Linked DNA regions of Styela clava. The protein of the gene in region 3 purifies or fractionates together with the protein of the main gene of each other region. This does not show direct contact. Links are inferred from orthologs where the notes say so. Each region holds a gene or a part of one and is shown on either strand. Other genes may lie near its edges.

What was found.
Region 1: the proteins of splicing factor 3A subunit 2-like (region 3) and ATP-dependent RNA helicase DDX42-like purify together in Homo sapiens (affinity purification with mass spectrometry; 3 studies listed by BioGRID and IntAct, with this or other methods). This does not show direct contact. The link is inferred for Styela clava from reciprocal best matches to the Homo sapiens genes SF3A2 and DDX42.
Region 2: the proteins of splicing factor 3A subunit 2-like (region 3) and survival of motor neuron-related-splicing factor 30-like purify together in Homo sapiens (affinity purification with mass spectrometry; 4 studies listed by BioGRID and IntAct, with this or other methods). This does not show direct contact. The link is inferred for Styela clava from reciprocal best matches to the Homo sapiens genes SF3A2 and SMNDC1.
Region 4: the proteins of splicing factor 3A subunit 2-like (region 3) and calcium homeostasis endoplasmic reticulum protein-like purify together in Homo sapiens (affinity purification with mass spectrometry; 3 studies listed by BioGRID, with this or other methods). This does not show direct contact. The link is inferred for Styela clava from reciprocal best matches to the Homo sapiens genes SF3A2 and CHERP.

The regions. Positions count from the first base shown.
Region 1 is NC_135253.1:14,088,546-14,096,238, forward strand, and holds the start of ATP-dependent RNA helicase DDX42-like, read right to left. Parts: upstream 3,003-7,693; 5' UTR 2,843-3,002; coding exon 2,741-2,842; intron 2,610-2,740; coding exon 2,502-2,609; intron 2,184-2,501; coding exon 2,103-2,183; intron 1,967-2,102; coding exon 1,840-1,966; intron 1,625-1,839; coding exon 1,321-1,624; intron 794-1,320; coding exon 547-793; intron 71-546; coding exon 1-70. Other genes in the region: polycystin family receptor for egg jelly-like, read right to left, coding at 7,495-7,693. UniProt on the Homo sapiens protein: ATP-dependent RNA helicase that binds to partially double-stranded RNAs (dsRNAs) in order to unwind RNA secondary structures. Unwinding is promoted in the presence of single-strand binding proteins.
Region 2 is NC_135260.1:11,001,079-11,007,726, forward strand, and holds survival of motor neuron-related-splicing factor 30-like, read right to left. Parts: upstream 1,964-6,648; 5' UTR 1,880-1,963; coding exon 1,127-1,879; 3' UTR 509-1,126; downstream 1-508. Other genes in the region: winged helix repair factor 1-like, read right to left, coding at 1-463. UniProt on the Homo sapiens protein: Involved in spliceosome assembly.
Region 3 is NC_135250.1:29,566,791-29,573,896, forward strand, and holds the start of splicing factor 3A subunit 2-like, read right to left. Parts: upstream 3,002-7,106; 5' UTR 2,897-3,001; coding exon 2,771-2,896; intron 2,485-2,770; coding exon 2,413-2,484; intron 1,045-2,412; coding exon 888-1,044; intron 522-887; coding exon 428-521; intron 1-427. Other genes in the region: uncharacterized protein LOC120334753, read right to left, coding at 5,452-5,687, 6,162-6,272, 6,757-6,817. UniProt on the Homo sapiens protein: Component of the 17S U2 SnRNP complex of the spliceosome, a large ribonucleoprotein complex that removes introns from transcribed pre-mRNAs.
Region 4 is NC_135250.1:12,309,935-12,317,601, reverse strand, and holds the start of calcium homeostasis endoplasmic reticulum protein-like, read left to right. Parts: upstream 1-4,651; 5' UTR 4,652-4,757; coding exon 4,758-4,782; intron 4,783-4,974; coding exon 4,975-5,145; intron 5,146-5,514; coding exon 5,515-5,690; intron 5,691-5,827; coding exon 5,828-5,951; intron 5,952-6,026; coding exon 6,027-6,184; intron 6,185-6,834; coding exon 6,835-6,981; intron 6,982-7,302; coding exon 7,303-7,461; intron 7,462-7,667. Other genes in the region: uncharacterized protein LOC144419834, read left to right, coding at 3,041-3,370. UniProt on the Homo sapiens protein: Involved in calcium homeostasis, growth and proliferation.

The DNA.
Region 1 (7,693 bases), on a different chromosome or scaffold from region 3:
CAGCAAGTGATTTTTGTTGTTCCCACATACTACCACCACCATAACAGGCTGTTGATCTTACTCCATAAATCTTAAAAGAAATGGAGGAATGAACAGTCTAAATGACGAGTAGTGTAGAAGGATAAAATACAAATAATTTTAGGCACTCCAGAAGTGCAATATGGAGGTAACTAATTTTGTTCGCCTACTTTACATCAAGTTGTGTAAAGAGATGAAAGCCTATGGGCAGGGGATATATACACTTGGCTAACACAGACAGTACCCGAACTCGTAATAGAACTAAAATAAGGAAAATCAGAATAAAATTATGGCCTAACCTGGTACACACACTACGGAAGTACCTAATTTTATTGTAAGTTTTCATTTCAGATATACAAAAATATGGTATCTCATTACTTTCAGATAACTCTAGTACCAAACCCATGTTGTTTTGGAACTAACAAAGATATCAAGCAACAACAATAAATAATAAACAAGAGAGCGATGAGCGATGCAAATATATGAACAAGAAGGCAACAAACCCCATCAGTAATATAAATACCGTACCTTGCCAAATCTTTTTACTTCAGCATGTATCTGTTGACAAAGTTCTCTTGTTGGTGCCACAATAAGTGCAATTGGTCCATCACCTTCTTCAAGTACAGGTTGATCCAGTACATGAGACAACATGGGCCAAACAAAAGCCGCTGTTTTACCAGAACCAGTTTTGGCAATACCAATTACATCCCTGCCTGACAATGCACTTGGTGTGCCTTGAGCTTGAATTGGCGTGGGGGAGGTATATTCCATTTTCCTTCGAAAGAATATTATATCATTTATCGAATAATTACTTATCGATTTAAATCGGTAAGTATGTTGATAGGTATTTGTCTGTCTGTATGTCTGTTAGATACACGCCATATCTCACGAAAGCGAGATTGAGTCTGCTCTAGATTTTGCATGTGAATTCATCTTATCTCGGACCAGAAGCCTATTGATTTAGGGCAAATTATGTCGAATAATTAGCGAGTTATTAATTAATTAGTGATGGGACACAAGGTGTCACTATGGAGTAAGAGCGCTGTTTTGGGGGATCCCCTAACTTTCGATCGATAAGTCTTCGGTCTCTGACCGATATTCTCGTTCTAATTTTAGCATAAATTCGTAACATAGTGATCACACCGGAGCATATTTGGGTAGCAAAGTTTAAGGTTTGCCGTTTCCCTTCAAATCAAGCATTTTTTAATCTGCATTTACACTATGTATTTATGGTAATGCTCAAGCTAAAAGAAGAAAGATTAGCATATACATTTCTAACTATCCTAGAAAATGCAAACTCACCTTATAACTTTCATCAGTTTTTCATCAAATCCGAAATGAGCAAAACTTGTTACAGGCTTTGGTGGAAAGAAACCGGAAACTTGGATCCCAAGTTTCCCTCGTAACATGGAAACTTCTGAATCTGTAAGTCTTTTAATATCATCATGCTCAACATAAAAGTTTTTCTCAAAAGTTTTATACTCAATTTCAGAGTGATAAATCATTGGTAATGGATCAATCATCTTTCTATCTTTCTGTGTTCCAGGAATTGGATTTCCATCTTCATCATATTCAACTGGATCATCAGCATCCAGAAACATTTTCCCTGCGGAAGAAAAATGTGACAGGTTTGTAAAACGAACAATATTACATCATTCCACTGCCTCATTTTCATACTTGATCAATTTCACATAATAGAGATGATCTCATAAAGATTATGTTTAAAGAATATCATATAAACTGTTACTCAAATATGATCTCTTTTTTCTACTAACACAAAAAGAATATCCAATAAATTTTCAAAGATAATTTAGCATCTACCTGCATCAGGATTTTCTTCAATATATTTATAATAGGATTCTTCATCATCCATTGTCTCTAAATCATCTCTGACACCTTTGATTGTATCTCGCTTTTGTACGGAATCCTTTTTGTCCTGCTTTTTGACCTTAAAAATAACAAACGGCTCAGCCATTAAGGTTGAAGTTATGAATACACCAATAACTAGATTTAAACTTGAGCATGGTCTCTTCAAGATAGTAACATTAACATATCATCATTGCAAAATGAAAAGAAAAAATAACCTCATTTTCAATGTTAGCCATGAATGCATCAAGAGGATCTTCTTCTTCACTTTCTTCTTCTTCTTGTTTTTTGATCATGTCCTTATGGCAAACATTAAAATTCATTAATACATATACTACGACTAGAGTGCTATTTATATAACCTTTTCATTCCATTTTTGCAAAGTTATTTTTATAATAAAACAGGACATTTTTATACTTTTACTTATTACTTTTTATACTGCAATTATGCAGCAGTGGCAGTGTAATGTTTATTTTTTTCATATGATATATACATGACACACATTTGACCACTTCTTCATCATTTTTTTCAAGACTTGCGCTTGACATGTAGCCTAACTTTAACTCAAAACAGCGCTGTAATATCAGAATATGTAGGGTTGGGTCCACCAAGTTTACCTGCTTCTCTTCTTCTGATAAAAATGGACATCCAGCCAAAATATCACGTTGCTTTTGTCTATTATCTTGCTGCTCATCGTCATCATTGAAGTATTCATCTTCACCCTCCTAAAAATTCAATGTTGTTTAAATCTGACTTTATACCAAATATAAAACTGTTTTTGAAACAGTTTGCCCTAGAGTGCCATATACATAGAACTAGGCTAGCCTACTTATATTACAATATTAATCTTACTCACACTCAATCTCCGCTTGGATCCGATTTTGTATGACGTGTTTCCTCTAGACGAGCCAGTCATATCAAAACCTTGAAACCCATACTTTTTATTTCCTCCACTCATTCTCTTGGCACCTTTGACACAAAAATTAGACAATGGAGCAACGCCTGGCTAGGACACTGCCTTGCGATAATCCGCAGAATTTTCCAACCAAGTCTGTGTGTTAATCGATGATGCTGGTGCTATGGTTTACTTATAATTTACATTGCTCTGCAGCGCAACTGCGCGGTTATGTTCGGGTGACCAGGCGTTCCTCCCACAGAGATATATAAAGTGTGCTTCTCTCTCATTTTAGCGGGACCAATAGAAGCCTCCCTCGTTTAGGCGATAGACTTCCAACTTTTGCGTAGCGCGTAATGCATTTCTTAGGAAATTTGACAGAAATCATAATTTGCTTTGATTTTTCTCACCTATTCGCCTGATCTTGGATTGTTTATTATTATTAAATATGAGACGCTAATAGATCACAGTTCAGTGGTTTCTCCGGGTGAATGGACTTTTCCCCGACCTTTGACTTCCCAAAATTCTTCCCACACTCTTCCTATATACCAGCGTTCCCCAAACTGTGTTCCGCGGAACACTAGTGTTCCGCGAGCAACTTCGAAGTGTTCGGTGGAAAAGGAATCAAAAATACGTCTCAAATGGTCGCTATGGAGATTTGTCGATTCCCAAATTAGGGGCCGCGCATCGAATTTTAGGGGCCGCAAAAAGAACACCAACTTTACAAAACATCAAAAATGCATCTTTCGAACTGTTTAGCATTGTTAACGTGGACAAGGTCCGCGAAAAAAAATTATATATCCAAAAGGGGCCGCGAGTTTGGGGAGCCCTGATCTTTGAAACGTGAAGTTGTCGCCCAACTGACCGTTCAATATCGCGTCACCGTCGCCCTAACTGGGAAAGGGTAGTGGCGTTTTCGATAAGTCATATAAATTACGTACGTACAAAAATACGTCGGCCTAGCTTTTAGACTGTTATTCATTCATAAGTTCATTATCAAGTTTACAACAATCTTTTTGGTTTTTCTATAGGCAAACGTGTAGGTCTAAAGAATAAAGGCAAAAGGGTCAACTCTTCTTCCTCCGTATCAGCCTGGTTTTACTTTAAAATGCTGAAAAAATCACTCATTTTCGCTAAACTCTATTAAGTTGATAAATAAACTGCGGCGAAATTGCAGCAAGTACTTATACTCCCATTAGACGTAACATTAGAGGCAAACACTACGTAATGAAAAGTAAATGACATAAATGGTAAAGTGAATTTATTGATTCATATTAAATTAAGAAAACTTTTATAACATTGGCAACATGTAAAATATTCAAGCATATTTTAAGTATGTTTAACACAATTCTGTTAGTTTTCCCCGCGCATTTGACAACTTTTACTTTATCAATTTTACTCTTTTATTTTTTTGGTGTTCCGCGAGGCGAGATAAAACGTGGAAGTGTTCCGTGGCCGAAAAAGTTTGGGAAACGCTGCTATATACCATTGCGAAAATTCCGGGGCTTATTTTAAGAGTAGTTTCGCGAGTTGGCGAGCACCGGTAAAGAATATCAGCCTAGTCTATCACAGCTATTTCTACACCAATTTTTGATTACTGCAATTAAATTGAAACTTTTAAGAAGACAAAATGATCATTGAATTATCTGATTTATATTTAAATTTTCAAAACACAACTGAACACTAACGAATAGAATTCAAAAACGTTTAAACGAGGTAATGTTTGTATCTTGCTGATTGGCCAATGGCGACTTCGTTAATTGCGCCTTCTTTTATTCAATTACATTTACGTACAATAATGAATAGATACGTTAACTCACTAACGCTACTGCAAGAGTTGCAAAGCACTTCTAGAAAACACTCTCAGCTCAAGAATTTCGTTGTCAAGCGGAAATCGCTACAAAGAATGGATCAAAGTCATTTTACGAGAACAAGATCTAGAAGCTAGGTAGGCTGACCTTAAAAGATTAGGTCATAGTAGTAGCGTCATGACTAGACCCAAGTTTTTTGCGATATCAAGTTAACATGTCATTGTGTAGTTATAGAATTTTAAGTTGTTTGAAGAAGAGAATTGTTAGATTATGTAACATGGGTAATAGTTTTCTGCAATCTTTTCTCTAGCCCAGTGCTCCGCAACCTTTTTTTTAACTTGCGGCACACTTATAAATCTTGCCAAATTTGACGGTACACCACAACAAACGAAAAAAACAAAGTGTAACTTTGTTTTTAGGTTCATATTTCAATGAGAGATTTGTGGTTGTTTTAATGAGCACAATACATAAAAGAGCAACTCGAAGTTCGCCGTCAACATCCTTTATACAGTATCGTTTATCGTTTTTGATCAGTAATAAAGAGGAAAAGCTTTGTTCGCACACATAAGTTGTGCAAAACTGGAGCAATATTTCAATAGCTGCATTGGAAATGTGCTTATATTCTTCTTTTATTGAAATCCAAGACACATCAAGTGGAATTTCGCTGAAATTCAGTCTTAGCGTTCTGTAATTTCTTACTTCAAAGAAATTTTCTCGAATACGCAGGGGTAATTCTTTCGTTAAGCTCAAGTTTTATTCATATTCGATTACTACACGACTACACGTGCTATGTTTTAGCCTCGACAATAGGCTTTACCAAAGCGTGTATATAATATGGGCTTCACAATATATCTGCTTGACATATAGGCCTATTCCTTTTTACGTCACAAATGCACAGTGGGGGGAGTAAGGAATTTGAATTGGTGTCGCTCAAGCTAACGTAAAAGCAGGTTAACTTTACGTTAGTAGAGTAGTAGACTAACGTAAAATTAACAAAGGATAAAAAAAAATTGTAAAAAGAAGAGAAAAGTGGCAATTCCTGTGCGGCACACCTGGCATCGTCTCGCGGCAAACCGGTGCGCCGCGGCACACCGGTTGCGGAGCACTGCTCTAGCCCAGTGTTTCCCAACCCGAGTCCGCGGCCTCAAATGAGTCCGCAATGAGCCAGAAATTCACAGGGGCCGCACTCAAATATTAGAATAGCAATTTACTATTCGAAAATTTGGTAATACGTGACGCGACAGTTCACTTGCGCGTCGCTTGCGGAAACGAAAACGTCGATAGATACCTAAGTGGTGTTTCTCGCGAGTTCGAACAACGAGGAATAAATATTTTTTCTGTTAGGTGTAAATGGTGACAACCGAAATTTTCTAAATTGAAAAGCGGCGATGCAAAATACTAAAAATAAAATGGAGAACACGATAAGTTTTGTTTTATGATGGTCCTCGACCGATTAAAATGCTTTTTTACGCATTGCAAATCGCAAAATTTCTGGTGCTACCGTAGTTTACGTACCAGGGCATTTTCCCGTAGGATTCTTTTCTTTACTCCACATCGGTACGTATAGTACTGGAGCGCCGTAAGTGTTGTACAAACAGCTCAGATTTGTCGAATTTACGAAAATACGAATCAAAACTAAATATAATTCGGCACTTTACCACACATTTTTGTGTGCACGGATTGTCATGATATTTTCTCATTAGTATTGCTAAAAGGATCACAAATATGGATGGATTGAATATTTTATCCAACAGAAAAAATTATAGAAAAGTCGGCTCTTTAACGAGTGACGTATACCCGACGATTACTTCAGAAGTTGTTCCGCGAGAATTTCAAGGCGATAAATATTTAGGTTTGATTTACTAATATACTAAATATAAATCTATTTTTAATAAGTACTAAATTAAGTTGTCCATTCTGGAAATTTATAGCAGATAGTAGGATTTTTCTAACGGCGATAACAAAATCGCAAGATCGCAGAAAATATGTATCAAAACTGAATATAATCGGGCAATATATTCTCACATTATTATGTTCGCAGATCATCTTGTCGTAAGTCGAGTAGTCGACCGCATCTGCGAGTTACTATGGACGCAATTGAATTAAAATAGAAAGTTATTTTAAATTCTCGTCGTTGTCATGGATTGAATATTGTGTCACAGAAAAGTTCATTACACACTAAAAAAGTGGGCTTTTTAACGAACGCGTAATTGCGGCAAATTTCCGATTTTGAAATTCGTTAAATTTCTGTTGTGTTTGGTTTTATCGCTTCTTCACAAAGAGTACGGTTGCAATAAACGCACCTTGAGTCCGCAAAGGTTTTCGCGGGTGAGAAAATGGTTGGGAAATGCTGTCTTAGCCTGTTGAAAACAGAGTTATCTTCTAAAATTTAGATGTACATGCTGTTTGTGGGTTAGCCAAATTCTGCAGGTACTTGAAAAACGATAGCGTAAAGCGTTATGTGATATTTTGCGGGTAATTCTAAAATCATTGCATGTTGGACGATCTCCTAAAAACTGCTTTTCAAAATTGCAAAAACCTCATATTATTTTATATTAAATTATTCTAATTTTCGTGGGGGATTACGTGCTGACATCTTTAGGAGCATATTGCCATAGTACAGCTACAGCGAAATGTGGAAGAAATAAGAATCCCTTTAGACTTCAACCGAAGAGACATTTCTAACACGCTGTTATATTAGTAGAATTTAAATATTCTTCCTCTCAAATATTTTAATCGAATGACAGTTGTACACAAAAGGTTGAGCCTTGTAGACTTAAGCTATTGAAAATTGTGTTGAAGTCCACTGAATAGGAGAAATAGCCTACTCAAGATTACAATCTGATACTCGACCAAAATAATCACAAATTGCGAATTTACCATAATTCTTTATTTCAATAGATATCAAGAAACCACATCATTTTTTTCCCTCAAATTCGAATTGCGTCTCATAAGTTTTCGCTTATTCATTGCGTCATTGTTGATCTTATTAGTGATGTGTCTTTCTGATCCGGTGATAGCAACTGGATCTAGCGTAAGAGATTTTCTCATAGCTTCTGTAATGTCATGACGAATAATAGAACCCAGGGGAGGTCTGAGTTTT
Region 2 (6,648 bases), on a different chromosome or scaffold from region 3:
CTGATATACTTCCAATAACCTCGATCAAAAATCGAGATATGATTTGCTCCCTGCTAGTTAACTTCTTATCATCTTTACGTTCACCCCGTCCTTCCCTAGATGAAATATTGTGATATCGATTGACGTGAGCAATAAAATCTTTTGTTAATACAATCATATGCTCCTCATTTCTATGTTCCAAATGAAATATTTTTATTCGTCCACATTCAAAAAGATCATTTACTTGCTGATCAACTGTCGTTCTATTTTCCAATAAAGCATACAATTGATGTTTAAAAACAATAGGCGGAAACCGGTTCTGCAGTTGTTCTTGTGGAAATATATTTCTAATGTGCTCAATTGCACTCATTGCATCAGTTATATTAGCTTCTGAATCTAGTTTTCCATTACTCCAAGGTATGAATGTTTTGGACTTCTTGCTGTTTCCAGGAGAGCCACGTAATATAGTATGTCGTCTCTTCATTCCGTGACAAATAATATTTTAATTTAGTGTTAGTAATTATGCTGATCTATAGAGAAAAGAATAAAGTAATATAAAAACAAGCTTGAATATTTCACAGAAGTAAATTCACATCCAGTTGGATTGAAAAAAAATAGTAGAAGTACATTGGTACAATTTACATCATTGTAACTCGAGAAATAATAAAGATTCCCCTCATGACGTTACTATTTCTCTAGAGATTTTGACAGCCAGTCATTCTTGATTAATTTTCACTGGAGAAAAAGTTTAACTGTTATCCAACTTAAACAGCAAAATAGTAGACAAGATTCGAAACATCTAATCTAAATTCCAGTCATATTTTATTTCGATTATTCTGTTTCATTCATCAAGCATATAAATAGATTGAAGGCATGAAAAATATCATTTCTCTAAACAAATGACTGGGACTTCATCATAATATCCATGGACACATTAATACCATGCCATTTCCTATCAAAAATATACACATAATCTAAAACAAGCCAAAAATAATAAATTTCCTCATCCAGTTCATATTATCCAAATGCCAGAAAGAATGCTTTTGGTAACAAGATTATGAACTTTGTCATATGTCGCTTGATACTATCCCTGAAAGACATGCCATCTTACTTAAATGATATAGGTGTGAAGTTCTATAACACCCTTTCATGATTTTGGCACAAGATGCCGTGCGTTATATTTAGCACCCTCATCATATTTTGTCATATCTTTATCTGCAGTTCCGCAAGTACCAATTCCCACTCTTCCAACAAGACCTTCAGGTGATGCAAATATACTTTTCTTGACGGCACCTTTCATAGACTTATGTGTGATTTTTTTATTAAATTCTTTCCATTTATGTTTCGAAATTTCAGATTCAGCTTCTTTCTCTTTTGCTCTCATTTTCTTTCTTTGATTTTTCTTTTTACGATATTCACGTTGTTGAATCATTAATTCCCGTTTACTGGCTTTTGATTTAAAACCAGCCTTGTCACCATCGGCAAGCAGTTTTAACTGCGTTAATTGACAAACATCTGGCTGCTCAAATTCATCAAATCGAACTGCAACTGTTGCACTTTCAGGTAAAATTTCTTCGAGTACTCCTTTGTGATATTTCCCATCTCCACTCCATATTGCATAACATGGGTCACCTACTTTCCACATATGACGAGGACCACTGTCAGGCTGAACAGTCTCTTCTGCTATTTCTTCGGCGGTTTTTCCAGTTGTTGTTTTTGCTTTCGTTGAAGGTTTTGCAGCTTCTACTCCCATTAAATCTTTAGTTAGTTGAATAACTTCTTCAAGATCTTGCTTCAATTTTTTAAGTTCTTCATTTTCAGGATCTGCTGATAGAGCTGCCTCGACTTGCGCTAATTGCACTTTATAGTTTGTCAAATTTGCTTCCAATTCGGCAGACATGATTTTTTGTTTTAATAAAAATTCAAAGGTTTAAAAGATCTAAAGGTTTTCAAAACTGTTGTATTTGCAAAATGGTAAAATTATTCATTTATTAATTCTGCAATCCGGTACATATACGAAGAACCTCATTCCTATATTTCAAACTTGAATTGTATAAATCCTGAAATCAGTACAATTATTTAAATTCATTTTATTTGTTAGACTACAGGTACAGGACTGGGCTTTATACAGATATACCAAATATTACAAGTGAACACTAAATTAATGATAATGTAGTGGGGAAATTGAGATATATAGCAGTTTAAATTATACCGTACTAAACCTGATGAAAATTTAATTAATATAATGTGTACAGGTTTATGACACCTGTTGTTCTATGGCCTACCGTACACTAGTTTATTATTAAGGTTTCGAGGGTGGCTAGTCTGGATTTCATGGCCTTTTTGAATGAGAAATCGGGCGTGCAATCAGAAATTCCTGCATGCAAATCAGAATTCCCTTGCGGGCGTGCGAAACAACTGCGCCCGCATGCAACTGACTTTGACTTTAGATACCATTCAATACATTTATCAAAAAATTGTTATGCCACACCTACTACTAGCCTAGAAGTCTGTTAGGTACCGTAACAGTATAAGGTCAAGCAGAAATAAAAAAATGGAATACCGGTATGAAGGTACCGGTATCCCAAATCTCTGAATCTTGTGGATTCAGCGCGGCGTGGCGGTGTGGCTCAACGGGCTAAGTGTTAGAAATACGCTCGCCACCGCACCTCTAATTACTCTGCGTGGGTTCGCAGGTTCGAATCCCATGCAGGGATGGTTATGTGCGAGAGGATTGCTGGACTCCTTGCCGTCGTTGGGTGGTTCACGTAACCGCTGGTCGGTTACCGTTCGGCTTCCTCCACCACCAAGTCCATGCTTCCGAAAACAAACAATATAACTAATCCCATACCCTGATACCGACTAGGAATTGTAACCGGACGAGAGGCCGTGGTTTGCCATATGGATAAGCCGTCTTATCGGCTTTCCTCTCCCCTGGGATAAATATGTAAATACTATCCTATCCTATTCAGGGTTTACCATAGTCTGATAGTGATTGTCCATACTCAGATACTGCCATACCGTCATACGTACCCCGATACGCGGCACCTGTACATTGATTGAGTACCGGCAACATTATAAATTTAGACGCTCGCGTTAAAACTGGAAAATGATCTTTCAAAACGCCAACGAACGAACCTACAGACCTAGGGAAGGGACTGAAGGATTGAGTTGAAACATCGCCAAAACGTCAAACAACAAATCTGGTGCGCAGTCACGTCACGTGACAAGCCAATCACAAGGATCGATTGGGACCACTGAGGTGTATAAATACTGTAGTGTACACCTCAATGGTTGGGACATTCTCCAAAAGTCTCGATTTTGGATTTTATATTTATACGGTATTTCTATTTACTGGCAATCCCAATCCCCAAAATCCTAAAAATCCCAAGTTTTTGCGTGTTGAATGTGAGTTGTAATAAACAAACAAATATTATATTCCCTGATTACAAATCTTGAGTTCTAGTGATAATCACTCAAACCATATTTACGCTCAAATCATCCAGGGTGTAAAAAAGTTACTGCTTTTTTTGTAGTCTTGAATGATGGAAATGGGTCAACTCCTTCATTCATTCAACTTTGAAGAAATATGAAATAGTGAGTAAAGCGTTGCACATATAGAACTTAACTATATTGGCATCGCAGGGTCAATATCTCCGACCAAAACCAATGGTCATCAGTCATCACATTGTTCCGGCTATGAAAAACGAAGGAGGGAAAGCCAAAACAGGAAGGAAACGGCCCTCCCTACAATAGTAGCTTCTTGCGCACAAGTGGCTGCGTGTGAATAGCCTTGTTTGAAGTGAAAGTGTGATGAACTCCTCATAAAAAATTATGGATTGATCTACCGAAAGCTACATTTAACTAAAAGTGACAACACATCGGTTACTTTAGTAATTTGGAACAAGGTGGCGATTTTGCCACATCGGCTGTGAAAAGCATGTACTAATTTTCCGTTCAACACTATTTTATCTAACATTTTAAAATGCGTTACATATTACAGTAAATACCACATCAGTCAAGATATTCAAAAAAACGTTTCACTAAATTCGCGGTCGAAATATCAGATTATAAACCAGTTCTAGTTAATTTAGCTCACTATACAAACTTCGGTTTGTTAGTTTCCTTGTATAAATTATATATATATATTATCACAAATTTACAAACTGCAAAATTATTAGTTGTTGCTCTGACAGTATTGAAGTGGGTTGCTACGCAGCTTGCCACTTGACCATCAGTCGCATCTTACGGCTTTTAAATGGTGACATGCGAGTCACGCGTGAAATTTTATCGCAGAGAAAATAAAATATTATCAGAGGAGTGTGTTTTAAAGATATATTGCTAAATAGAACTCTAGCACACGCTTTTAAAAAGCCACGAGTGAAGCTTTAGGGCTTGATGGTTGACAAATAAAATATTTAAAAAATAACTCATGCAAATTGGCCCAGGGAAGACGGCAGGAAGAAGGTTAATGCCGGTGGAGTTGATCAGACAACATGGAACATACCTATATTTTTTTTTATCAATTGACGCCACAGGCACCTGATGTTGCAGAAAGTCGTTCCGCCTGTAGCCTGCCTGTCAGACTAGTTCAAGACGCATGTTGTTTTGGACATTGCAAAAAAAGGGAGGAAGCAACATCTTTGTGGTATCAATTATCACCGTCGATTTTGAACGAGGTAACTTATAACTTGTGACTTGAAAGTTTTCCCGACTAAAATAAATAATTAGAATTGTTTTAGCGGTTTTCGAAAATCATTGAAGATTTTCCTAAATATATTGTTAGAATTCACAAAACGAGGATAAAACACGAATTTATGTTCCGCATCTTCTTGTACTTGAGTATAGGACATGGGTACAACAATTCAAGATAGTTGTGAATACCAATTAATTTCAGCGCATTTTGTTGTAGTTTCGAATTATTACTAGCAATGAAAATCGTAGACGTCTCGAGCGGTCTTATAATATACTTTATGCTCTCTCCTTTTTTCACGACACGCTCAAGCACTTCTTGCTGTATTATTTATCACTCCTCTTCAGAATCTCAGTCGAGAACCAACTGCTCCACATCCTTTCGAAAAAATATTGAGGGAACGAAATAGTCTCGATTACATGAAAAGAGTGAGTTTATGTTAACTATTGTTTTGTTACTCGAATGCACTGCGTGCAATAACATCTCAATAAAACTCAATTCTCTTTTTTCAGATGGATATAGAATAGCTAAAATTAGATCATTGGTAAGATTATTATTGATAAAGATTTCAAATTAATATTGACCGTTATATATTATATCTGTTATTACAGAATACTTACGCTTTAATTTACAGGATTAAGATGGAAGTGAATCGCCGACTACATGCTGGCTCTATTACCTCCCTTCGGACTAATTATTTTTCATGTAAAAAGTTCTATTATCATAGTTATATATATTTTAGTTCATGCCTTCATTGCCTTAATACTTTATAATTTCAGGCCGAGGGGAGTCCAGGTTTATTTTTAGATTGGAATAGGGTAAGGTATAGCTAGAATATCGATATATATATTAACATAGAGTAGTTAAAAATTCTCTTCAAACTCCAGTGCACTTAAGAATTGTTCGACAAGGTTTTTGAGGCGTGTCGGCCCACAGTTAATGAAAATCACATATTTCTTCTTCGTTTCAGCCGAGTTCATTTTCCGTTCGCCAGGAAACACACCACTTCCTTTTACATCAGAGTGGAATTTAATGTTGGAGATGAATTTCATCCATCGATATATTGGGTTTGGCACTTTATTCGTACACTCACCAAAAATATCATGCTGACTAGTAGGCTATAGCAGTAAATTCAGTTAGGTAGTCACAATATCCATCAATTTAAGTTTACCGTTACAATTTTATATCTATGGGTCAAAACTGCCAATATTGAGGAAGAGAAAACTACAGAGATTCAGGTGAGCTGTGCAAAAATTGTTTTATGTAATTCTTATACGCTACTCATATTGTCAAAAATATATTTACTAGATTGCAATGGCAGTAGCTAAAAGAATGAACTGGATGATAGAACAAGTTGAAAATAACGTTGAAGAAGGTGTCCTGGGAAATATTGGTTAAACTTGAAATCTTCATAACGCATATATCATACAATATCATGGTAATTTAAATCTTCACAAGAAATTTTTGTTACTGATTTGGGAACCGAATTTCTATCGTGTTTTTTCAACAAATTCTACACCATGATCTTATGAAAAAACGTATATCTGATACTTTTTACCTATGTCGTTTTTTAAATTATGAGTAAGTCTACTAAATTGATAATTATCATCTTTTTAATTTAACTTGTTGATAATTATAGGATTATGTGGAACTCAATGGGAGCGATGTTCTTTCGATATCAAGTTGCAACTATTTACAAGTATGGCAGTTTCCTTTTTTTGTCAGACATACTTTAGAACACGTCAGTTATAATTATGAATAAAATCGAAGTTTATATTTATTTATCGTTATTACATTTTTTTTAAATCGCTGGAAGAAGCTCCAGTCTCCAGTTTGTTGAATACAATGATCGAGAGGTAGATTATATTATATTTTAACAATATCCAATAAATGCAAAAAAACGATTCAAAAATATTTCTGCATTTCATTTTTGCCATAGTTTGTAATTATAAATTTTTTAACGGCTTTATTTCAGT
Region 3 (7,106 bases):
TTCCACCTTTGAGTGCTGAGAATTTTAAAACAATTACCGGTAATCCTTTAAATTGATAAAAGGCAATTTTTAAATTACTGATTATCGAAAATTTGTAACAACGACACATAGTCCCACTTCATGCACAACCAGGGGAGTAACCAGAAATTTTCAAAGGGGGGTTAAAGGGGGCTGAAATTTTTATTTGCCAAGTTAGACCGAAACAGCTAGCGGGTCCGATCGAACGCTGGAATACGCGTATTTTTATTAGTCTTGGGGTCTAAAAAGCATTTTATGATACGAATAGTTGCTATCTATGATACAGAAAAATGATATTTTTTTTTACATTTCAAAGGGGGTGGGAGGGGGTTCAACCCGCAGAACCACCCCCCCTGGCTACGCCACTGTGTACAACAATTAAAATTAATTTGCAGACAGAAGCTCATACCTGTGTTTTGGTATGATTATATCAACGATCTCAGGATAATCGACCTGGAATAATAAACTTTGTTGTCCAGTATCGGGCACTCTTTGCTTTGTCACTGAAAAAAAAAAGAATGCAACATTAATTAAATAATAATCAAGTAGTTGAAGTTGAGTTATTGATGAAGAATGTTACTTACTGTGTGTGAACACTCAGCGAACAATCTGAGTGATAGATCACGTATTTCCCCTAAATATGTGTCTGAAAGACCCATCAGTGTAAAACAGTCAATACAACTACGTTAGATTAGTATTACAAGTATTTAACATTCTATTCGATTCGGAAAAAATATTCGATGCAATTCTGAAACCATCGTATATTCAAAAATGTCTTAATTGTACGTCAATTGAGGAGAGGAACTTTCCTCCAGATTACCCCCGTTCTTGATCATTAAACTATTCAGATTTCTTTATTAATTAATTACCTTTATACCCAGGCCGTCCGATTTTAACAAACTTTTTGACTTCAATGGTGGGTTTGGCTGGAGCAGGTTGAGCTGGGGCTTCCTTTGCATCCCTTGCTGCTCTTTTTGCCAGATTTGCTTGATGTTTTTTACCTTGAGTATGTGCAAGATAACTTCCCTGGAAAGAGGAAATTTTCAAAATTGAGGCAGGTAATGAGATGTGCAGAATTATGGCAACACAATATGTAGCAGTAATTACAAATGAAAGTTTGCTGAGCAATGATTTCCTTGTTTATTTCCGTAACAATGATCATTTAGCAAAACGTCAACGATGACGTAACAATTGTAGTTTTTGCAGCCACTCAGGCACTTTGTTTGCCCAAACAGATACTCAGGCATGGTTTTAAACATTGCCTCGCTTTCGCGGCACTCAAGTTTTTTGTCAGGTTTTAGTTGTGTTTCCAAAAATTAGTTATAAATAAAGTACAGTATTTGCTCGTTTTGTAGCCCGGGCCCACATTTTTTTCAACCAACTCACTAACCGGGCCCCTATTCAAACCGGCCCCTATTCAAGCACGGGCGCTTGTTATTTTTGATCGTTACAATAATTAATATATTGTTATTTCCATTTCTCAAGTATGATTTGAACGAGAATAACGAGAATTTTGACTTTTTCTACGCACCGCAGGTACAAATCCACAAAAGAGGAAGTTTTGCGACACAGGCACTTAAAATTCAACAGCGTTGTGACAAAAGCGCTTCTATTTCCTATTGTTCTCTACCACTGAAAAATCAGCTTTTACATCGAGCGGGTATTCAAGCACCAGCCCTTATTTATTTTTATGTTCTGTTCACACGGGCAGCTATTCATACGGGCCCTTATTCAAGATCGGGCGGTAAAACAAGCATATACGGTATATTTCATTTGTCAATGTTTTTCGTTGAGCTTTAGTTTAGTCACAATAATCAAATATCAGTGCCAAGGTAAGCTGCTATAGACTAGGCTAAAACTAGCTGCAAGTATCTGTAAGCGTATTGTTGTAGGCTGTATTATGATAAAAATGATGGGTTTGAAAATGTTTATAAACGTCGACTCTCCAAAACACTTGATAAATAAGCATCCCAAATTTTGAAATATCAAAGTGTAGAGAGAATTATTCTTGAATCGAGAGTCGAGAAAACATTTATTGCCTTGAGACCTGAAGGGCTGGGAGATATCAGAAAACAACAACGTGGTGTTACACATAGTTACCGTAATTCAGCTCATTTGTACAAAGCCCCCAGCAACGCTCAAAATAAAAAGGATTAATTATCCAGTTCAAGTGAGGGCTAGGAATGCAGATGGCACTGGAAATTCAAATAATCTTTCCTAACCTCAACCCTCAATTGGATAATCACTATTCGTTATTTAGAAATACTGAAATATGACAGAGGTGTTTTCTAAAATGTCATATTTTTGCATTATTGGCGAGCGCTTTGTACGAAAGATCTGGTGATTGTGCAAAACTGGAATAACAAAATCAATCATATGTAATATATCACTCACCTCATTGTTGTGCAGTGTTAAACAAAGTTTACATTCGTACGAGCCAAGATGATTTTTCATAAAATATGGATCCTGAAAAACAAAATACCTTTGGTATAGCAGCACTTTCAAAATTGACTCCTTACTGCCTTGATAGAAAGATAAGACCATGTTGTTTGTAAAACAATAGTGCATTAATGGAGTAATAAATTACTGAATTATCTTCATTGTTTTAGTTATTAGGCATTATGTTTATTTATCTCAAAAGTCAGAATATGCAAAAGTACGGGATATATATTACCTATATAGATAATCATAGACACATAAACTCGACAGGGTTTCAATACTCAAAAACGAAATGAAACAATAAGAAATTTACCTTATTCAAGTCAATCGTTTCCAAGGCCAACTGTCTCAACCTTTCTCTGCGATCTCTATTTGCATCAGAGAACGAGGCCACACCACCTCCACCTGTCTTACCACCGGCTCTGTGTTGAAAGTCCATTATCTTTTATTTCACCGTGTATTTTCTGTATTCTGAATACGAAACACCAAAGACAGATTCACGGTACGGTGAGGCAGAACACAAACGAGAGCGCCGACGATAGACCCGATGGCGGCATGGAACGTAAACATGATGAAATTGAATCGAAAACGACGCTTGCCAGATTTAGGAGATAGATGAAAAGATTTTTGTGGCATATGACTTTTCACAAATATTTGTAAGACTTGGGAAAAAGTTTTTTTCTAATTAAAAATTCTTGATAATTTAATCATTTGCTGCAATCTGTGTGTTCTTGTGTTTCAGCGTCCATGCATTTAGAACGAATACCTGATTTACTATTCCCATATTCGACATAACTTTGTTATACGATAAATACCATTGATTGCAATAAAGGGTGAAATTTAATTTAATATTTGTCCAGGAGAAGACGAAAGCCGATAGGACAACAATCCCCAATCTAATCACTTTTCTACAAACATAGGATTCAACCACACTGGAAATAATACATCAAAGGTGATTAGATTATTTTATTCATAAATTAGACTGTAGTAGTATATATTTCCGATTAGACGTACCGGCTTATAAGGCGCACGATCAATTTTTTTTTGTTGAGAAAAGGAATTTAAGTTGAAGTGCGCCTTGTGGTCCGCAAAACACGACAATCAAAATAGTCTAAGGAGAAAAGAACCTGCTCATCAAGCGACTCGCTCTCTAAAACCTCTTTAGAAACAAGACGGAAATTTAAATATCTATTTATAATTTACAAGTTATTAACGTTCAAGCATAATTTGGTTATTTTGGCAAGAATCTACTATAAACTTAACATACTGATTACTGACTATATCTTTCTCGCGTAGCTAACAGTATAAATTTACAATGATCATTTTCCTTTCTACTCCCAGAAGCAGGAATTACTTTGAAAGTAGAGTCATAAAAGACCATTCAACCCCAATTTGCTGTTACTGATAGTTGGTTTATTTGCAACGATTCATAAATATAAAAACGGGCTCTCTCTGATATGGAAACCACTAACAACAGATGGCCGTTGAGTATCACGAGTATCACGGCTTCGCACGAATCCTCTGGATTCCACCACTGATTATATGTGCTAAGAAAATGTAATAGCATCAAATGCTGATAACCCTACAAAGCACCTACTTTAACGTTTGAGTGGTGAGTGGACATTCGATATTGATGTTGGAGGCGTCGGATCGGATGAAATGATTTTAAATAGAACTGGTCGAAGGCGACAGAGGAACCCGATACCCTAATCCATGATTTGTGCATGGCCGGTTGTGGAACATTCAATCTATTTAACGAGCTTGTTTTTTGGTAACAATTTTTTGTCACTGTGTTTTTTTTGCAATGAAATTGAACTACAGCATCACCATTTTACGTCAACGAGTGTTTTTTATTCCATATTTTTGTGAGAAAAGCACTGTTGTACTTAGCACTTAGGTGTCGCTGCCTGAAGACCTCTTGAGGTCCCTCGCGACTCCTGTCACACAATTTAAGTTAGTTTCCACTTGTATTTGTAATTATTTTTTTATATATCATACCATGTTTAAATTGTGTTGACGAATAAATGATGATTGATTGATTGATTGTTGTGTCTCACATTTTAAAATTGATTTAAAAGGTATTGCCCGATTTTACATCGTGATTTTGTTTTATTGTGGTTTTTTTGACTGTTTTTGGTGGACGGGCACGTACTTGTACGTTTTTAACTTTTTTATTAAGTTATACCCGTCCTCCAAGTTCTCTGCATTTTGTTTGTCCGTTTGTTGTTGTTTTGTTTCTTTCAGAGTGACCGAAATAAAATTGATTGATTGCGGTTTGCCTGTATCTGATAACTGATTTTCTGACTGTCTTTCGTTGGTCGGACAAAAAAGTTACAAAACTACGGCCCACGGCGCGGCGGTGTGGCTCAACGGGCTAAGCGTTAGGAATACGCTCGCCACCGCACCTCTAATTACTCTGCGTGGGTTCGCAGGTTCAAATCCCCTGCAGGGATGGTTATGTGCGAGAGGATTGCTGGACTCCTCGCCGTCGTTGGGTGGTTCACGTAACCGCTGGTCGGTTACGGCTTCCTCCACCACCAAGTCCATGCTTCCGAAAACAAACAATACAGTAAAACTAATCCCATACCCGACTTGGAATGGTAACCGGACGAGAGGCCGTGGTTCGCCATATGGATAAGCCGTCTTATCGGCTTTCCTCTCCCCCCGGGATAAATATGTAAATCCTATCCTATCCTATCCTAAAAATTTCTGAAATACACTACCCTGAACCACCTTGTTTCCGAAAATAAAGTTTCAAATTGTTTCTACCTTATTTTGAGATTTATTTCACGATAAGCATGTAAAACGTGTAATAAATATTGAATATTTTTCACGAATTAACCAAAAATTAAATCATAGATTAAAAAAACGGAGTCACAGGGGTAAAGCGCATAGCGCGCAAGTTCATTAAAAATAATCACTTTAAAAATGCTCCAATTAAATTACTTTTTTGATTACAGGCCAATGATAAAAAAAACTATACGACACTTCGATCTATGTTTCAACAGAGCGGATATAGCTCTTATCTATGTTGACTTTATTTTCACCGTCGCCGTACATGTTAATCTGGATTGGATTAGCAGGGTTTAAAAATAAGCTTCCTTGACGTGTCTCCTGAACTGGGGCCGCAGCTGGAAGGGCTGCCGGTAATTGGCCAACCCCACCCAGTTGCAGCACCACTTGGGTCACTCCTGCTGGTATTTGAATGCTGTGAATACCGGTATTTGAGGCTGTGAAAATAATAACAAGTGGTAAATTCTGAGAAGCCGTAGTTTTTTTCAGCTATGAATTTCCTGAATTTCTATCCTGTGTGTTATCTTTTTGTTGTGTCGAGCGGATATCAGAATAAATTCACCTATCCATGGCATAGTATTCATTCAGATGCAGTATAAGTTTATTTCGACTCCATAATCAGCATAACAATAAAATGATTGAAACAAATGATTAAAAATGGATTATGAAATCCGCAAATAAAACCTTAGATAAGGTTTAAAACGTACAGAATATAAGATGAAAGGTTTTGCCAAGAAGAAGTGGTACGTGTTCACTTACCTGATCTTAGTTTTATTACATTGTTGCATTTGGTGGCGTAAATTATTAAAATGAACCGTAACATATGAATAATATACTTGAAAATGGAGCGTCACTTTGCATAAACCAAATAGCTAACATAAAAAATTGCAGAACAAAATTTGTTGACTTACCTGGACCAAATGGTGTTGCCAAATTCGCCGCTGGTTCAGATTCAGAAATCGTTTCAGTCACAGATAATGATCTTCCAAACAAAGCGGGATTTGTTTGAGATTTGCCCTTTCCTGTGAAAGGATTCATAATAACAATAATAATAATAAAAAGAGAGCAATGCTCAAATATATGGGCTTATTTCAACATAAGCCCTCCCCTTAAAATACCACCTAGTCAATAGAGCAATTTTTTTTTGTTCCGTTATTCATAAGTTTAAGGATATCGGTTTTCTTATTTTGTATATTTGAAAATTTCGTACTTCTTCACTTTGTAATTTTGTTTTTGATAAATGAAAAAAAGACATCCTCCCAAAATAAACCCTAGTGTTATTATTCAAAGATAATTGAAATAATTTGTCATATTGACGGGGAAACACGTTAGAAACAGCGAAATTTAGGAACCAAAAAAATAAAAATATTAGCAATCACAACAACAACAATTATTTGTCAGGAAGAGCGATTTGTTTTCAATAACAACAACACTAATAACCTCAACAACAATTTAACAAAATGAATCCATAAATATACTTTCTCCATAAAAATATTGCTACCATACCTGACTCTCCTCCGTTTATATTCGACAAATCTCCTGCATCAGATCCAAACTTGAAACGAACCTGAAAATTCAAATTTCAATTCGGAGCAAAGAATTTTCGTCAAGCATGAAATATTGACCAAATAAACAGAAAAAATAAATTAATTGGGAGAAAAAATAACAGACATACAATATTTGGTGCTCCCGAAGTATGCGAACCAAGATGGCGGACATCGGAACGTAAACATGGGTAACAGGTTAGGGTTAGACGATAATTTTTTTTCAATTTTCCTTATTTTAGTCCTATTATCAGTTCGAAGACTAGCCAAGAGCCTCCCGTAGTATTTATACCTAAAATTATGGCCTAACCC
Region 4 (7,667 bases), about 17 Mb from region 3:
CCAAATTGACCAGGAAATCGAGAAATGGAGTAAACGATCCCGAATTCAGGGTAAAGACAAATGTAAATGAGTATATCTCCAGCCCCCATTAGACCTCTAAAGATGTTTTGCCCTCAAGAACTTTCTAATAACGATAGCTCCATTCTGATAACAGCTGACGAAGCGTCTACTACACAATCTATGATGTTGCGGTTTGTCTCACCGAAAATTCCATTCCAAAAATTTGTACATTTAACTGATGTCGATTATAAAATAATGAATTCCAAAACTATTTTCAGAAGAGACTGGTTCACTTCGGATATTATGAACACGGCACAACTAATTTTGTCATCTCGGTATTCTGAAGTAGACTTGTTATACAGCGCTATCTGGCCCTAAAGTGTATATTCCTTTTCAAAAATTTGTTTGTGCACGAGAATCACTGGGTAACAGCATCAAATATATTCACCCCTGACCAAAATACCATACAGATTTATGATAGCTCAAATATGAAGTACAATGAAAATGACGAATATGCGATTTCGCTTCTTACGCGGCCAAGGCAAGGAACAAATAAAGTACCAATTGAATTCCCCGCTGTCAAGCAACAAACTTTATGTGCATCGTGTGGCCCATTCTCGATTAGTTTTTGCATAGCCCTATGTAACAAAATACGACCAGAGCATATACTATTTGACGAGAAAAATCGTAGGAAGAAAATATGCGATGGTGTTTCATTAACTTTTTAAGCTATTAACCTGAATCAACAAGCGTTTTAGGTGTCGCTGCCTGAAGACCTCTTGAGGTCCCTCGCGACTCCTGTCACAAAATTTAAGTTAGTTTCCACTTGTATTTGTAATATTTTTTCATATATCATACCATGTTTAAATTGTGTTGACGAATAAATGATGATTGATTGATTGATGGTATGGTCTCTGAAAATTTTTCGTCGGTATTTAACATCAACAAGAAACGTGTTATACCCGCGTCCAGGCGATTGGAAATTCCGATACTTCGCAACTGTCAACTGTCTTACATTGAAAATCAGACCATGATCGAATGCACTTCATGTTTGAAATGGTACCATCCGAAATGTTGTAGTGTTCCAGTCCCAGTTTAGGCACTGGAAAACAGCGAAATAGAATGGAATTGCAAAAAGTGCATCCGATGCTAAATTACACGCAAAACAATATTCAACTAGATATGATGATTTACATTCTCATTTTTTTGAGGTACATCGTTCAAGTCAGACGAAGGATCAGTCTGTTTTACCTATTTGGCTTAACATGCCCTTTGCCAGGTTTTTCTCTCTTGGTCTAGTCTACAATACTGAGATGAAAACCGCCACGATGGTTGGCACCTTGACGTGGTGTGGTGGCTTTCTAGTAAGACCAACCAACCATTTTAGGAAATTTTTTAAAATATAAGATAGATCCCCGGTAGGGAAGAATGAGATGATTTCACAATTCGTTTATGTTATCTTACTTAAATTGAGGCACGCCATTATAATCTATACAGTATGTGGGTTGTGATAGCGTTGTTTATTAATTTTAAGTCGGATTCTTGTTTGGGTCATGTGTGACAAGATATATATTATTATATATATGTTCCCGACATACAATTTTTCTTAAACACGGTTCGAGGTTACTTAACAATATATATGTTTATTTGGGATATTTTATTTAAAAGTGGGGCACGTGATTGAAAAGTACAGAATTTGGGGTTGAAATACTGATATTTATTACATTTGAAGTAAAATTCCTGTTTGAGCCATGTTTGACAAGATATTAATATATGTTCCCGACATACGATTTTTCTCAAACTTGGTTCGAGGTTACTTCACAATATGTTCTTTTGGGATATCTTATCTAAAAGTGGGGCACATAATCAAAAAGTACAAACTTTTGGGTTGAAATACTAATATTTATTAATTTCGATGTAAAATTCATGGTTTCGCCATGTTTGACAAGATACTGTTGTTGTTCACCAATGCCAAGCAATAAAGCCATTTTACTTTTGTACAGTTGTAGTCTAGGTATACAAGTATATAAATTACAAGAACAAAATTGCCTGGATGTGTAGTAATTGATAGACCATTATTTTTTAATGAAAAGAAAAAAATACAAAGAACATTATGCCATTGAAAATGTACGGCCCCGTAGTGATGTACACCAAAGTTGGGTCTCATGTAGTTTCGTACCTAACATACTTCTAGTGATATTTATTACATTTGATGTAAAATTCCTGATTGAGCCATGTTTGACAAGATATTAATATATGTTCCCGACATACAAATTTTCTCAAACTTGGTTTGAAATGACTTCACAATATGTTTTTTTGAAATGTCTTATCTAAAAGTGGGGCACCTAATTAAAAAGTATAGAATTTAGGGTTAAAATGCAGATATTTATTAATTTTGATGTGAAATTCCTGTTCGGCCATGTTTGACAATGTATTATTATATGTTCCCAACATACAAATTTTATAAAACTTGGATTAGGATGACTTCATTTTAAGTTCATTCTTATATCACCTTCAAAAATCTGCCCGACCATCGGAAATTACAGATGAGTTTTGTGCAATTCCGAGTGTAGCAAAATTTCGCCGTAAATCTGGCAAGTGCTTTGCGACTAGATTCCCCTTTTTCGCCATGTTAAATTGTTTTCTGGCAACGCTATTTTACCGTTCCGAAAACGAGAGAGAGATATGTCCGCTAGGGCAACTTTGGGTTTGGGGGTCTCCTTACCTAACATACCGTACTTCTAGTGGGTGTAGCATAACAATATGATATGTCAACTCAATCCTAACCCCCATCTGACTACGGCCTCTTGACTACGTCATGCTACGCTCACTAGAAGTATGTACGAAACTGCATGAGACCCAACTTCGGTGTACCGTACATCACTACGGTGCCGTACGGTACATTTTCAATGGCATAATGTTCTTTGTATTTTTTTCTTTTCATTAATTAATAATGGTCTATCAATTACTACACATCCAGGCAATTTGTTCTTGTAATTTATATACCTGTATACCTGGACTACAACTGTACAAACGCAAAATGGCTTTTTTGCTTGGCATTGGTGAACAAGATAAAGCTTTGGAGAGCAATGCTGAATTATTGCAACAAATGGCATTGTTGAAGTATTTACAGTCTAATGAATCTTCGTCTGCCTCAAGTACAATATACCAGTGGATTACTGCAGCACGAATTGGTAATGAACTGTACCAGAGAGTTTCAGGAAAACGCAAGATTGAACAATTCAGAGCTGAATTTTTGGCAGGAGTTGTATCATATCTGCAGAAAAACCCAAATGCATCTCCCAAAAGTCAGAAGACAGAAATTGAAAGATTAATTGGTGTTTTTATCCTGCAAATGAAGTCTTTATAAGTGAAAAAAGATGATATTTTTGGAAATAATTTTGATTCCATTTATGATTATTTTGCTTTTGCACTTACGCATTTGCAATATTGCAGTATTTTGAACTTTGAAAATATGAATTGTTTCTGATATTTCACTTAACATTGACTTTTTTACTATTTTTGTTTTGAACCATGGCTCTCATCCATTAACCCTTTGTTAGATTAAACTTTTGTTAGATTAAAAAGTGCATACAAGGCTATTACTGGGACTAGTAGAGGTTGTGAATAATACATGTTTTGGTTTTAAGAAACGCTTTCATTTCAAACATATCGACACATGTAGATGCATTTTCATTTTTATACCTCACAGATTGTTGATATATTGTGGTTGATACCTTTGATTGTATTATATTTTCACAAAGTCTGTCGCTTGATTGACGACATTGACTAACACAGATTTATATCCAATATTACATTGTCATTTAGCTAGGCCAAAATATGCTTGGTGCACCCACTTAAAATTATATACAATGCTGTGGAAACATTCATATTGTAAAACAGCTCATCCACAAAATAATATAATTTTATTGTGTCTCCTTGACTACTTTAGCATTCTGAGGAGGAGCCATTATGCGGTCTCCTTATGAAACAATGCAAAAGTTTGTAAGTTGGCATTTTTGATTGAGGTGATCTTTATAACAATGCCGTTTTTATGCTTTGTTGGGCACTATGTAAAATAAATTTTTGACAATACTGCATGGGGAAGAATTCATTTAGTGCTTCTGTTTTTTCTGTTTTGTTAAGTATGCTATGGAGAATTTATTTTTCTCCTATCGCCAGACAATTTAGTCTAAACTGTCAATGTGAATAAATATAGGAGCAGTCGTAGAAATTGATATATATTTATGTCATCGAAAAAAGGGTTTTGCATATTTGCTTTTAAATTAATAATAGAATTAAGTACAGCATATCAGAGACAATTTTCCAACACATTCCTACGTTAGCTAATAATAAATTTCGACTGAATTGCAAGTTGTATTATTTGTAAATGGTGATTCAAATTGAGAAAAATAAACATATTGGTATATTTCAATAAAATATGTAGAAAATCGTAAATATACCTTATATTAATCACAATGTTATTGGATGCATAACTGAAATAGAAAATCCTTGTAGTAGAAATTTCATGAATATTCATTTACAGCAAACTTTAATTTTAAAAAATAAAAAGTATGATATGGCTGTTTAGATTTGATATAAGGAAAGAATTGTTTATTTTCATTGTTTATTTTTATTTGTATGCTTGAAAAAGGGTTTAATATCTTGTATAAATATTCGTGTACTTATCTTCAAATATAGCTACATAGAGCCTGTAAGATTTAGCAATATATTGCCTGCATTTTCCAATCTATAATATGGATGTTCTACAACCACCAGTGGGTAAGATGAATTTATCTCTTATTTTGAAAATTTCAACTCAAATTTTATTGGCTTTGAGAATAAAATTGTGAAATCATGTTTTGGGTTCATTTACTTTATATAAATGTTGTTACCTAATAAAACTGCTAAAATATCCAAAATCAGACTTATTCAGAATAAACTTTTTTTTTTTTAAAAACATCTTTTCAAAAGAACCTGAGGTGAAAAATATCATTGACAAATTGGCAAACTTTGTTGCAAGAAATGGAGCAGAATTTGAGAAGATGACGAAAGAAAAACAAAAAGGGAACCCAAAATTTTCATTTTTATTTGGCGGGGAACATTATAATTACTACCAATACAAACTATCAACAGAACAACAAAGTAAGGAAATTATTTTTTATATTTTTGGGAAATTTAATTTTGTGTTTGTTCAAATGAAATCCAGTATAAGTTTCGAATATTCGTTTTACATCTTTTGCCTGTAAGGGTGCTGTTCAAAGACGCAACGGTCTATTAGAAAGTTTTTCTTTCTTAATTATGGTATTCAATCTAGATTACACCACTGATCATATTGCAGAGTTTTTACATCAGTCTGATTGTCCAAAGTTACTCATGAGTCATGACTTTTAAAATCTCATGTTTTTATATTATATCCTGTTTACATTAAACCTGTTGCAAATTTTGAAGTTTGTATTTATACTCTCTCATCATGTTAATTTTTCGCTGTATTCTTTTTTATTGCATTTTCAGTTCAAAATCAGCAAAAAGCAAAATTGAATGCGCAAGTAGTTGCACAAGAAGCAATGGTACAACATTCATTGCAGAATGCACCTTGGCAACGAAATCCTCAACAACAGCAAAGTCAGCAACAAGCAATTCCACCTCTGATGCCACAATTCCCAAGGTTTCCCCCTAATATGAGAATGGTATGTCAGGTGTTCTGTTTTTTGTATTTTTGGTAGATGGATGATGGCTAATACACAGTGTTAGTCTTGTATGTGGTTTTATATCTATTTCTTTTTGTAATCTCATTTTATATACTGATCTTCTTATTATATTATAGCCAATGTCGAATGCTCCGCCATGGCAGCCACAGTCCCAAAGATTCATGCCACCGAATTCAGGACCAAACATGCATCAGCCGCCACCTCCGTTCCCAGGCCCCGGTAATAACCAGACAGTACCAAGTTAGTGACACTTTGATTCATCAAAATTTGAAGTCGAAGTGACAAAATTTTTTTTTTAATGAAAACTGTTTTTAGACATGCCGATGCCTCCTAATCAGCAAATGGGTGGACAACCACCACCACAAAATTTCAATATGCCGTATCGACAACCACCACAGAACATGCCACCCAGGACATCAAGGTTTAGTCAGTTACCACCAGAGCAGTCTCAAACTTTACCAAGTCAAAATCAGGTTTGAAATTTGTCATTTCATTTTAGTTCATATATATATCAGTGGTTCTCAATGTGGTATGGGGGAGCTTTTAAAATGGTACGCGAGCAGCTTTGAATTATTGCAACAATTAGTTTTTGAGTTTGCTAATATATGGCAGCAACACTTTCTCTTTATATTTAATACTGTATGTATTCGCTAAACGGGTTCATAGCGCTACCAGTCCTTGTCTTTAGAGATAGCCCTCGTCCGCTACTGCCCAACTAAAATGAAACGAGAGTGTAATAATTAAAACCTTTCAGCTTTGACAGTAGACGATGCAAATTCTTTCGTGCTTCTGCACACAATTATTACGTTGTTAGGACATATATTTAATATGTTGAAACTTTGCACGAAGATCTAGAAATGGATGTAGTGCCACATTATAAAATAGTCCCATAGCACGTTGCTTGTGCCTTTGTTGCCCACCCCAAAAGGGGGCTTCAATGGTGTTACGCTGTTGGAGTAAAAAAAAACACTAAAGAACCACTGATATAGATGTACAAATTGAAAATTTGATATGTTCACATAGTATTCTGTCATGTTATCAAACTATGTTCTACTCTAAACAGGGCGTTGGGCAAGCAGCTGTTGAATAAATTATATTGTTTGATGTAGTTCATTTTGTTCAGGAACCTGAAGACAAAAAAGCATCAGACTTGAGTCAAGGCAAAGACGAAGAAGGCCAAGAAAATGAAGAATATCAAATTGTTCAAGCTGAAAACGAAGCCAAAATAAAAATTGAGAAAAGCAGCAGTAACTTAAAACAACAATATGAGGTCATGATGCACATCTGTACTATTAACTATATACAGGATGACGCAAAATGAATAGAACTCATAAATTTATTTAATACCTAAACACTTGAACTCCTGTTTGTGTATGATTATACCTACAAGTTTCAGTATTCTAGGACAGTTTGCACCAGTTATGTTCTCTCCACAATATGTTTCGAATTTCCCGGGTTCTGTTTTTTCAGGTTACCCTGGAATTTTGTTAATTGCATTCAAGATGCGCACAATTTTTCTTTATCGCAGGCCTGTAAATGGCTTTTTTCAAATTTTTGTATTTGTATTCTTTATAATAAATTTTTAATTCAGGTTTTGATGCACCAACAACAAGAAAAAATTGATGCTGCAATAGCTCAGACCGAAGAAGAAAAATTAAGAAATCTCGCTTCGAGTACAGGAATTATAACTTCTGATTTCGATGTTGTTTTGCAACCCATTATCAACACTTGCACCAAGGACTCAATTTCAGTGAGCAATAAGCTTGTTGGTCCTTTGTTATAGTTCTGGACTGTTTGCTAATTTATTTTGGATAAACAACGGCAATATTTGTTACAATTCAGTAGACTTGTAAAGAAATGTTAGTACAAAGTACAAAGAAGCTGACTAATGCATTGGGAAATTTATATTCAGTTAATTTACTCAATTCTAATTTAGTAGATAGATTTAGTTGTGGT